Linked DNA regions of Saccharomyces cerevisiae S288C. The protein of the gene in region 1 interacts with the protein of each later gene in a biochemical or structural test. Each region holds a gene or a part of one and is shown in the gene's direction. Other genes may lie near its edges.

Region 1 (5,485 bases):
AATACCAAAGAAAAAAGTGAAAGACCAAGTAGATGAAAAAGAAGACTTTTTCTTGGTAAATTTGGAGTCGAAATCTTATACCATCAACTCAAACAGTTTGCTTTTGAACAGCACTTTACAAAAATTTGCTTTAGACTTACTTAGGAACGTAATAACGAGACACCGCTCCTTTTTAACTGTCTCGCACCTAGAGGGTTTTATTCCATTTTTGAGAGATTCGTTACTTTCGGAAAATGAAGGTGTGGTAATTAGTACTTTACGTATCCTGATTACATTAATTAGGCTAGATTTTTCCGATGAATCTAGTGAAATCTTCAAAAACTGTGCGAGGAAGGTACTAAATATTATCAAGGTTTCTCCTTCAACTTCAAGCGAATTATGCCAAATGGGTTTAAAGTTTCTTTCTGCCTTTATACGTCACACAGATTCAACATTAAAGGATACTGCTTTGAGTTATGTTCTAGGGAGGGTCTTACCAGATTTAAATGAACCAAGCAGACAAGGCCTTGCTTTTAATTTCCTAAAAGCACTTGTTTCAAAACATATCATGCTTCCAGAACTCTATGACATTGCGGATACTACTAGGGAAATCATGGTCACAAACCACTCAAAAGAAATTAGGGATGTATCCAGGAGCGTTTACTACCAATTTTTAATGGAATATGACCAAAGTAAGGGTCGTTTAGAAAAGCAGTTCAAATTTATGGTCGACAATTTACAGTATCCTACCGAGTCCGGCCGTCAGTCCGTAATGGAATTGATCAATTTGATTATTACAAAGGCTAATCCTGCTTTACTATCCAAATTATCATCTTCCTTCTTTCTGGCGCTAGTTAATGTTTCTTTTAATGATGATGCGCCAAGATGCCGTGAGATGGCTTCAGTATTGATTTCCACCATGCTTCCAAAGCTTGAAAATAAGGACCTTGAAATTGTTGAAAAATATATAGCCGCTTGGCTAAAACAGGTTGATAATGCATCCTTTTTAAATCTTGGGTTGAGAACTTATAAGGTCTACTTGAAAAGTATTGGGTTTGAACATACTATTGAGCTAGACGAGCTTGCCATCAAGCGTATAAGGTACATTTTGAGCGATACGTCGGTAGGATCAGAACATCAGTGGGATTTGGTATACTCAGCTTTAAATACGTTCTCATCTTATATGGAAGCAACAGAGAGCGTTTATAAACATGGTTTCAAAGACATATGGGATGGTATTATCACATGTCTCTTGTATCCGCACTCATGGGTCCGTCAATCGGCGGCAAATCTTGTTCATCAACTCATAGCCAATAAGGATAAGCTGGAGATATCATTAACCAATCTGGAAATTCAAACCATTGCAACAAGAATTCTTCACCAATTAGGTGCGCCTTCTATTCCGGAGAATCTTGCGAACGTCTCAATAAAAACATTAGTTAATATCAGTATCCTATGGAAGGAGCAACGCACGCCGTTCATAATGGATGTATCAAAACAAACTGGAGAGGATCTAAAATATACTACCGCCATTGATTATATGGTAACTCGAATTGGTGGTATTATCAGGTCGGATGAACATCGTATGGATTCTTTTATGTCGAAGAAGGCGTGTATTCAGTTATTGGCCTTATTAGTTCAAGTTCTGGACGAAGACGAAGTAATTGCAGAAGGGGAAAAGATATTATTGCCGCTATATGGTTATTTAGAAACATATTACTCAAGAGCAGTTGATGAAGAACAGGAAGAACTACGCACTCTTTCAAACGAATGTTTAAAAATACTGGAAGACAAATTGCAAGTATCCGATTTTACAAAAATATACACTGCTGTCAAACAGACCGTATTAGAAAGAAGAAAGGAAAGGAGATCTAAAAGGGCAATTCTGGCTGTTAACGCTCCACAAATTTCTGCTGATAAAAAGTTGAGAAAGCATGCGAGATCGAGGGAAAAGAGAAAGCATGAAAAGGATGAAAATGGGTATTATCAAAGACGTAACAAAAGAAAGAGAGCCTAGCTGTAATATATCTTTATAACATGTATACTAATGAATAAAAAATCCAAGTTATAACGTCAAAGCTGTAGTACGTTAGCATTTCCGTAAGTAAAACCGTAAACTTGATACGTTTTTTATTTTCTTTATTAATAGTAATACTATACACTGTCTTTAATAAAACGACGCTATTTATAAAACTGTTAGATAAAAGACATACCAGTCTTCCTCATATGACCTACTTTAAAACCCCAAATGACAAGAATGTTTGATTTGCTTTGTTTCTTTTCAACTCAGTTCTTACAGTTCTTGAGAAGCTTTGGCAGTCTTGGCAGACTTCTTTGGCAACAAGTTTTGGTGAATGTTTGGCAAAACACCACCTTGGGCGATGGTAACATTACCCAATAGCTTGTTCAATTCATCATCATTTCTGATGGCCAATTGTAAATGTCTTGGAATAATTCTGGTTTTTTTGTTATCTCTAGCAGCATTACCAGCCAATTCTAAAATTTCAGCAGCCAAATATTCTAAGACAGCAGTTAGATAGACTGGAGCACCAGAACCAATTCTCTGGGCGTAGTTACCTCTTCTTAGCAATCTGTGCACTCTACCAACTGGGAATGTTAAACCAGCTTTAGCAGATCTAGATTGAGAAGCTTTAGCAGCTGAACCAGCTTTACCACCTTTACCACCGGACATTATATATTAAATTTGCTCTTGTTCTGTACTTTCCTAATTCTTATGTAAAAAGACAAGAATTTATGATACTATTTAATAACAAAAAACTACCTAAGAAAAGCATCATGCAGTCGAAATTGAAATCGAAAAGTAAAACTTTAACGGAACATGTTTGAAATTCTAAGAAAGCATACATCTTCATCCCTTATATATAGAGTTATGTTTGATATTAGTAGTCATGTTGTAATCTCTGGCCTAAGTATACGTAACGAAAATGGTAGCACGTCGCGTTTATGGCCCCCAGGTTAATGTGTTCTCTGAAATTCGCATCACTTTGAGAAATAATGGGAACACCTTACGCGTGAGCTGTGCCCACCGCTTCGCCTAATAAAGCGGTGTTCTCAAAATTTCTCCCCGTTTTCAGGATCACGAGCGCCATCTAGTTCTGGTAAAATCGCGCTTACAAGAACAAAGAAAAGAAACATCGCGTAATGCAACAGTGAGACACTTGCCGTCATATATAAGGTTTTGGATCAGTAACCGTTATTTGAGCATAACACAGGTTTTTAAATATATTATTATATATCATGGTATATGTGTAAAATTTTTTTGCTGACTGGTTTTGTTTATTTATTTAGCTTTTTAAAAATTTTACTTTCTTCTTGTTAATTTTTTCTGATTGCTCTATACTCAAACCAACAACAACTTACTCTACAACTAATGTCCTCTGCCGCCGAAAAGAAACCAGCTTCCAAAGCTCCAGCTGAAAAGAAGCCAGCTGCCAAGAAAACATCAACCTCCGTCGATGGTAAGAAGAGATCTAAGGTTAGAAAGGAGACCTATTCCTCTTATATTTACAAAGTTTTGAAGCAAACTCACCCAGACACTGGTATTTCCCAGAAGTCTATGTCTATTTTGAACTCTTTCGTTAACGATATCTTTGAAAGAATTGCTACTGAAGCTTCTAAATTGGCCGCTTATAACAAGAAATCCACTATTTCTGCTAGAGAAATCCAAACAGCCGTTAGATTGATCTTACCTGGTGAATTGGCTAAACATGCCGTCTCCGAAGGTACTAGGGCTGTTACCAAATACTCCTCCTCTACTCAAGCCTAAGTCACTCACTAGGTATTGTGATTTAGTCATGTTTTCTTTTTATTAGTGGCATTTTTTATATATTGTAACATTAGGGTTCTGTTACTTGTCCAGATATGATTGGAAGGGTCTAGTCTATCAGCCTCCGAAGGGAGTTGTATAAATGTATATATATAACTTTATAAACAAAAAAAATTGGGAAAGATATTTTGCAAACAGTTATTATTAAATTGTTTCTTAAACTCTCCTTAAAGATATACCCTATTTAGGTTCACTACACGAGCATTCATTGAGAAATTTTTTTTAAAACAACATCGATCTTATCTTGAGCAGTTTGGTGCTTATCAGTTCTAGTCCCAACACGAATATCAGTGTGTACTCTAACATATCCTTTCTCATGACCGTATTCATGGATTTCGCCAATCAAACCCATCACATCATCCCAAGGCCCTTCAATTGTTGTTCCTGCACTGTGTAAAGTGCTCTTTAATGGGCTTTCTCTGATTTTTTTTTCAATGAGTGCAACAAAATCAGAAATACTAGCAGAGTCGGTGCCAATAGGGACCATACACACGTCCGCTAAACAAAAGATCTTGGGCATTTTCTAAACTTGTAGTTTATGTGCTTTATAGTTAATGATCACGACGGCAATGACAAAAACTGAATATCTTGATCTCTCCTTTTGACGATGTCAGTGAATCCCGGTTAATGATATTCTGTTTTTCACGGGGTGGAAAAGAGGGGAGCTTGAATCATACTAAAAAAGGAATGTCAAAGAGCTATATAATTCGAATAAAAAGTAAAAGAAACGAAAGGTTTTATTAAAGGGTTTGGAGCTGTTTTCGGACTGAAAGCCAGTAACAAGCTTGTGTAGGAGTTTGTCTGAAAACCATCTTCATTTCAAATAAGAGAGCGAGTAATTTTTAAATAATTTCTTTTCTGAACTACTTAAATCGCTATGTACCTTGCGAAAATTATTCTTTAATAGTTTAACTAAAAGTAAAAAGTTAGAAATCATAAATAAAAAATCAAAGAGACAAATCTCGTTGCAAAAGCTTGAAAAATAGTGCTTTACCAACAGGTTGGCAAACCAGAATGCTAACAAAACTTAAAATCCCATTTCCCAAGAGGATCAATCAATCATATTTACCTTGATAGTATAGGATACAAGTGTCTGTGCAGGCCTCCGATAACATGTAAAGTAATAAAAGTAGGAGTACTTGCTTTCAGCAGAAAATGAAAAAAAGAACGTTCAAACAGACTGAAAATATAGCTATTCAACTGGCACCTACTAATATCAATAATAATAAATTAATCTTGAGCAAATTGATCCTACATAAATCATGTGACTTATTTATTTAATTATTATTAAGTAAAAAAGATTTTCTATTTAAATTTATTAATTAATTTTTTTTCTTAAATAATTATTTTATGTTTTTGTTTTCCGAAAAAGAAAAATATTTCAACAAGAAGTATCAATATATTTCTTGCAAAAAATTGTTCACCGAGAATTGACAAAAAAACCTTACGTCGGTGACGACGATATACAGATCCTATATTCTTCATGTATGTAATAGATTCCCATACCTTCTTCGCATTTAAGACACTAATAGAAATGAAAGCTTTCTATTAGTCATTCTTCCTATGCACTAGACCACGCAAAGGTGAACCGGCTTGGTACGAGAATTCTATCACACGGTAATGATAGTGTTCCCGATGTCAAGCAGTCTTATACAGTAC
Region 2 (4,329 bases), on another chromosome or scaffold:
TATCCCCGTGAGCGAAACACCAGTGTTTTCATTGAAGGTGGTAGGGGCGGCGGTAGCAGTATTCACAACGGTTTTTCGCGAGCCCTTGGATTTTATTCTGCGCCTTTGGACGCCTTTAGTATGTGTCCTCAAATGTCTTTTTAGTTCATCGCTTCGGCTGAAGCTTTTCGGACAGCCCTGAACGGTACATTTGTGAGGCTTCTCGCCAGTGTGCGTTCTTCCGTGCCTTTTTTTATGTTCAAGTCTGTGGAAACCTCGTGAACAAATTTCACATCTAAAGGGTCTTTGGTCATTATCCGGAGGAAATCTATCTCGCAGGTAATTCATATATGGAATTTAAGAAAAGGATCGCCGATGTGCACCTACTAAGAGCAAAAGGAAATACTATGAAGCACACCGACTCATGGCAAGAAAGGGTCTCTGTTTTTAAACTTTATCTACTAGGATTAAGGAAAAAAAGAAGAAAAATAATGAAGCAACAAAAAAAAACTGGAACTGCTTTGCCTTCCAAGTATTACTGATTGAAGAACAGTATGAGGGAGCTAAATCATTTATACACGGAAAAATTAGTGAAGGATTTTTTGGTGGGGTCTCCAAGGAAGTAATTTCTACGGTGTGGTCTATGTATGTTTTTCCGGACGCGTTCCGCCGTTTTGGTTTCTGCCCCAGAACACCCCCCATAAAAGAGGTTTTTCCGAAGAGTGCCTTTCAGTTTTTCCGAGATCTTTATCTTTTTCATCCGTATTATGTAAACCTGAATAGCCCCTTGAGCAATTGAGTTGCATAATAGCATGCAATTGCATATTGAACCTCCTAGGACTTAAAGGTTATTCGTCAACTAAGGAAAAATATGCTCATAACTTACATATCTCGTACACCCTAAAATCCCACACAGGGATTAAAATTAAAATTATGTTTAGGTAATGAAAAAATAGTAAAAAAATGCTTCCTTAAGTTAATTATGAATTTCCCTATTAACACACATGCGTACACAAAAAAAGTATACGGAAACTATATTAGACTACACTACATCAACCTTATTTTCTTTTAAAACCTGGTGGGGGCTGAAACTTCCTTGTTTGAGGGGGCGCTTCATTATTAAACCTCGACCTATTTGCGCCGATATTATCGTTGCCACCATTGTATCTGCTCGACGATGGTTGGGCAATCTCCCTAGAATTGCTACTAGTATGCTTCGCATTGGCCGTGTTAGGTTTAGCGATCTTTCCCGGCTTTTTCTCTTTCTCTTTTCTTAGTTTCGTCTGCTTTTGCGCTTGTTTCTTTTCCTTTTTATCTCTCACTAGTCTTTCCTTCTTGGATAGTAGCGGCTTATCCTCCACCACTGTGGATAAGATCTGTTCTCCTCTTAGTATAGTCAGTCCCAACACTCTTTTTTCTACCTTGATGTTCAAAGTGGTTCCATCTTTTGAATCTTTTCTCGGTCTTAATTTATCTAGTTGAGTTTTGGGTACCCTCTCTTCTATACACTCATTCAACACTAAATTCATATGTTTATCAAATGCCATCAATTGCCCGATGTAAACGCGGCCATCTTGAGTGAGAACCCTCAGCTTATAATCAATAAGGTTGGCTAGTCGGCTGCTATGTGCCACCTGTATTTTGCTCATTAGTTATTTACTTTACTGGAAACCTGTTATACGGATGGTTCTGTTACCCCTTCTACTTTTTTCCCTGTCTTGTTCATTTCTAACTAGCATAGGCTTCTTTAAATTTCATTTTTTATTTTCATAATTTTTATTTTGAATTTTTTCCCACATTATCGTGAGAAAAACAAGAACATGGAGAAATAAGGAAGCTCGGTGGGTGGTTAATTGGGGAACACACCTGGTAAGTAAAATTCAATACATGGAAGGAAAGAGAGAAATAATGTCTGACGAAGCAAAGGAAAAGCGTGAATTAGAAAGCCAAAAGGAATCAAGTCATAATAAATCCGAAAAGTCTGTGGAACCTAAGCCAAAGAGAAGAAGAAGAAGAAACTATGACGATTATGACGCTGAAGTAGCAAAAGAGGAGACTAAGGCTAAAAATGGTTTGACGAAGAGCGAAAATAATGGTACTGTTGAAGATTCTGAATCTGATATGGACGATGCCAAGTTAGACGCATTGATGGGAAATGAGGGAGAAGAAGAAGAGGACGATTTGGCAGAAATTGATACCTCTAATATCATCACATCCGGAAGAAGAACACGCGGCAAAGTAATTGACTATAAAAAGACTGCAGAAGAATTAGACAAGAAGGAACCTAGCACAGGCTCTAAAGATGATGTAGGATATGGTGAAAAAGAAGAAGACGATGAAGACGAAGAAGACGATGATTTTAAAGAGTAGTAAGCAAAATGTCGTACATACCGGCCTCTACTTGTGTATTCTGTTTACTTCAATTTCCTATATGCGTTCTATATGTATATAAACTATATGTCAGCAGAAAATTGTAAAAATATAGCACAGAATTAAAGGGGAGAAGAGTCATTCACATGCAAGTGCGCAACTGCTGCAAAATATCTCTTAACAACAGTTATTTCCATTTGCCTTTTTGTTTTCGTTTGGTGTTGGTGTCAGACTAATCGTTGGTCCATTAGGAGCGGACGCACCATTGGCATTCCCGTTGGCACTGGAGTCACCAAGGTCCATTTGATGCTTGCTGACCTTTTGATAGATGGTATTGATTAACTCTTCAAAAGCCTTATCCACGTTTTCACTGTTCAAAGCACTTGTTTCTGTGAATAATAACTGATTTTCCTGTGCAAAAGTCTTGGACTCCTCCGTAGGTACAGCACGTAAATGGGCCAAATCAGACTTGTTACCGATAAGCCCCACTGCGACGTTGTCATCTGCATTTTCTCTTAATTCTGATAACCAATGATTACAATTTTCATATGAGCTTGATTTACTGATATCGTAAACGATCAAGGCACCTACAGCTCCTCTATAATAAGCAGAAGTAATGGCTCTGTAACGTTCCTGGCCCGCAGTATCCCAAATCTGCGCCTTGATCCTCTTGCCATCAATTTCCAAAGTTCTGGTGGCAAACTCAACCCCAATTGTAGACTTTGAATCCATATTGAATTCGTTCTTCGTAAATCTTGACAATAGATTGGATTTCCCTACCCCGGAATCACCGATCAGTACAATTTTAAATAGTAGGTCGTAATCATACCCGTAGTCCTCGCTGCTCATTGTTGAAATCCCCAGACGCCGTCAGAATCCCTTTGCTGGCCTAAACAAAGTGCCTTGTAATAAAGGTCAAATTGTTATTCGTTTCTTTCTTGAAAAGTTTTGAGTTTCCCTCTTTCTCTAATTTAGCACCCGCACACCGCAGCGGCCTGTGATATTCCGCATTGGAAAATGGTAAACAAACAACAAACGAGCCCAAACATAACAACAGTAGAATTGACGCCTAGGAACAACAATACAACATACTTACAGCAAGACTACTACCTAATTAGTGCAATTAGATTGCGCTGGGATAGATCTGAAGCTTTTTTTCCGATTATGAGCCTCCCTGTTACACCTGTCAAGAGCAAAGTGTGCAGTACATTATCGATACAACATGAGATGGACCATGATCAATGCCGTGATGTGTTGTGCCCACGCGAAAACTTACTAGCCATTAATAGAACTAATAATATAGAGAGTGTTGCTATACCGCGACAGAGATCGAGCAAGAACAAGAAACCCCATGAGCATACACAATCGCAGGTTCGATTTTCCATTCCAGATCCAAATGAAATATCACAGGACTCCCCACTGAAAATTGTATTCCCCAAGAGTGGAAATGAAACCGAAAGAAGAATGTCTACTTCATCATTACTTATGAATAGCCATGGTCATTTAGTCGACATGCACTCTAAAATACTGGTCGATGTCCCTAAAGAAGTTTGGAAGTTTCATCATAACAGGAGAAAAAAATGTGAAAGCAGGCACCGTAAAACTCGTTCTGATGTTAGGTCCAACACAAGTAGTAGTGGAAAAGAACCAAACCATTCTAGATCAAAATCATTACAGTCGATCATTGTGGATACAATGAACACATATCGTGCAACCGAGGTTGAGACCAGTATTAATGAGAATACTAGTAATATTAGCCAAGTATCTCCGCTGAATTTATCATTTGACAGGCCTCCTCCCTTAACTCCCGAAAAGAATTTATATCTCACTCCTGAATCGCCATTGAACAGATATCATTTACCAGTTCCATTAGAAATATCTCTGCCGCCCTACTTATCTCCGCAAAACAAGGATAAAAAGAGGAGTAGCTTGGTTTACGATGGGGATGGCTATAGCCAGTTTCAAGAAGGTAACACCTCA

Evidence for each region. Proteins that work in one complex are often made in the same cells at the same time.
Region 2: the proteins of HTB2 (region 1) and CHZ1 are reported together in a solved structure, tested with the Saccharomyces cerevisiae proteins (one study listed by BioGRID).

What each region holds. Positions count from the first base shown.
Region 1 is NC_001134.8:233,122-238,606, forward strand, and holds HTB2 (histone H2B), read left to right. Parts: upstream 1-3,370; coding exon 3,371-3,766; downstream 3,767-5,485. Other genes in the region: UTP20 (Utp20p), read left to right, coding at 1-1,996; HTA2 (histone H2A), read right to left, coding at 2,273-2,671; ECM15 (Ecm15p), read right to left, coding at 4,032-4,346. UniProt on the Saccharomyces cerevisiae protein: Core component of nucleosome. Nucleosomes wrap and compact DNA into chromatin, limiting DNA accessibility to the cellular machineries which require DNA as a template.
Region 2 is NC_001137.3:211,550-215,878, forward strand, and holds CHZ1 (Chz1p), read left to right. Parts: upstream 1-1,887; coding exon 1,888-2,349; downstream 2,350-4,329. Other genes in the region: MIG3 (Mig3p), read right to left, coding at 1-327; mRNA splicing protein SMB1, read right to left, coding at 1,038-1,628; Rab family GTPase YPT31, read right to left, coding at 2,527-3,198; FIR1 (Fir1p), read left to right, coding at 3,514-4,329. UniProt on the Saccharomyces cerevisiae protein: Forms a chaperone-bound H2A.Z-H2B complex that acts as a source for SWR1 complex-dependent H2A to H2A.Z histone replacement in chromatin.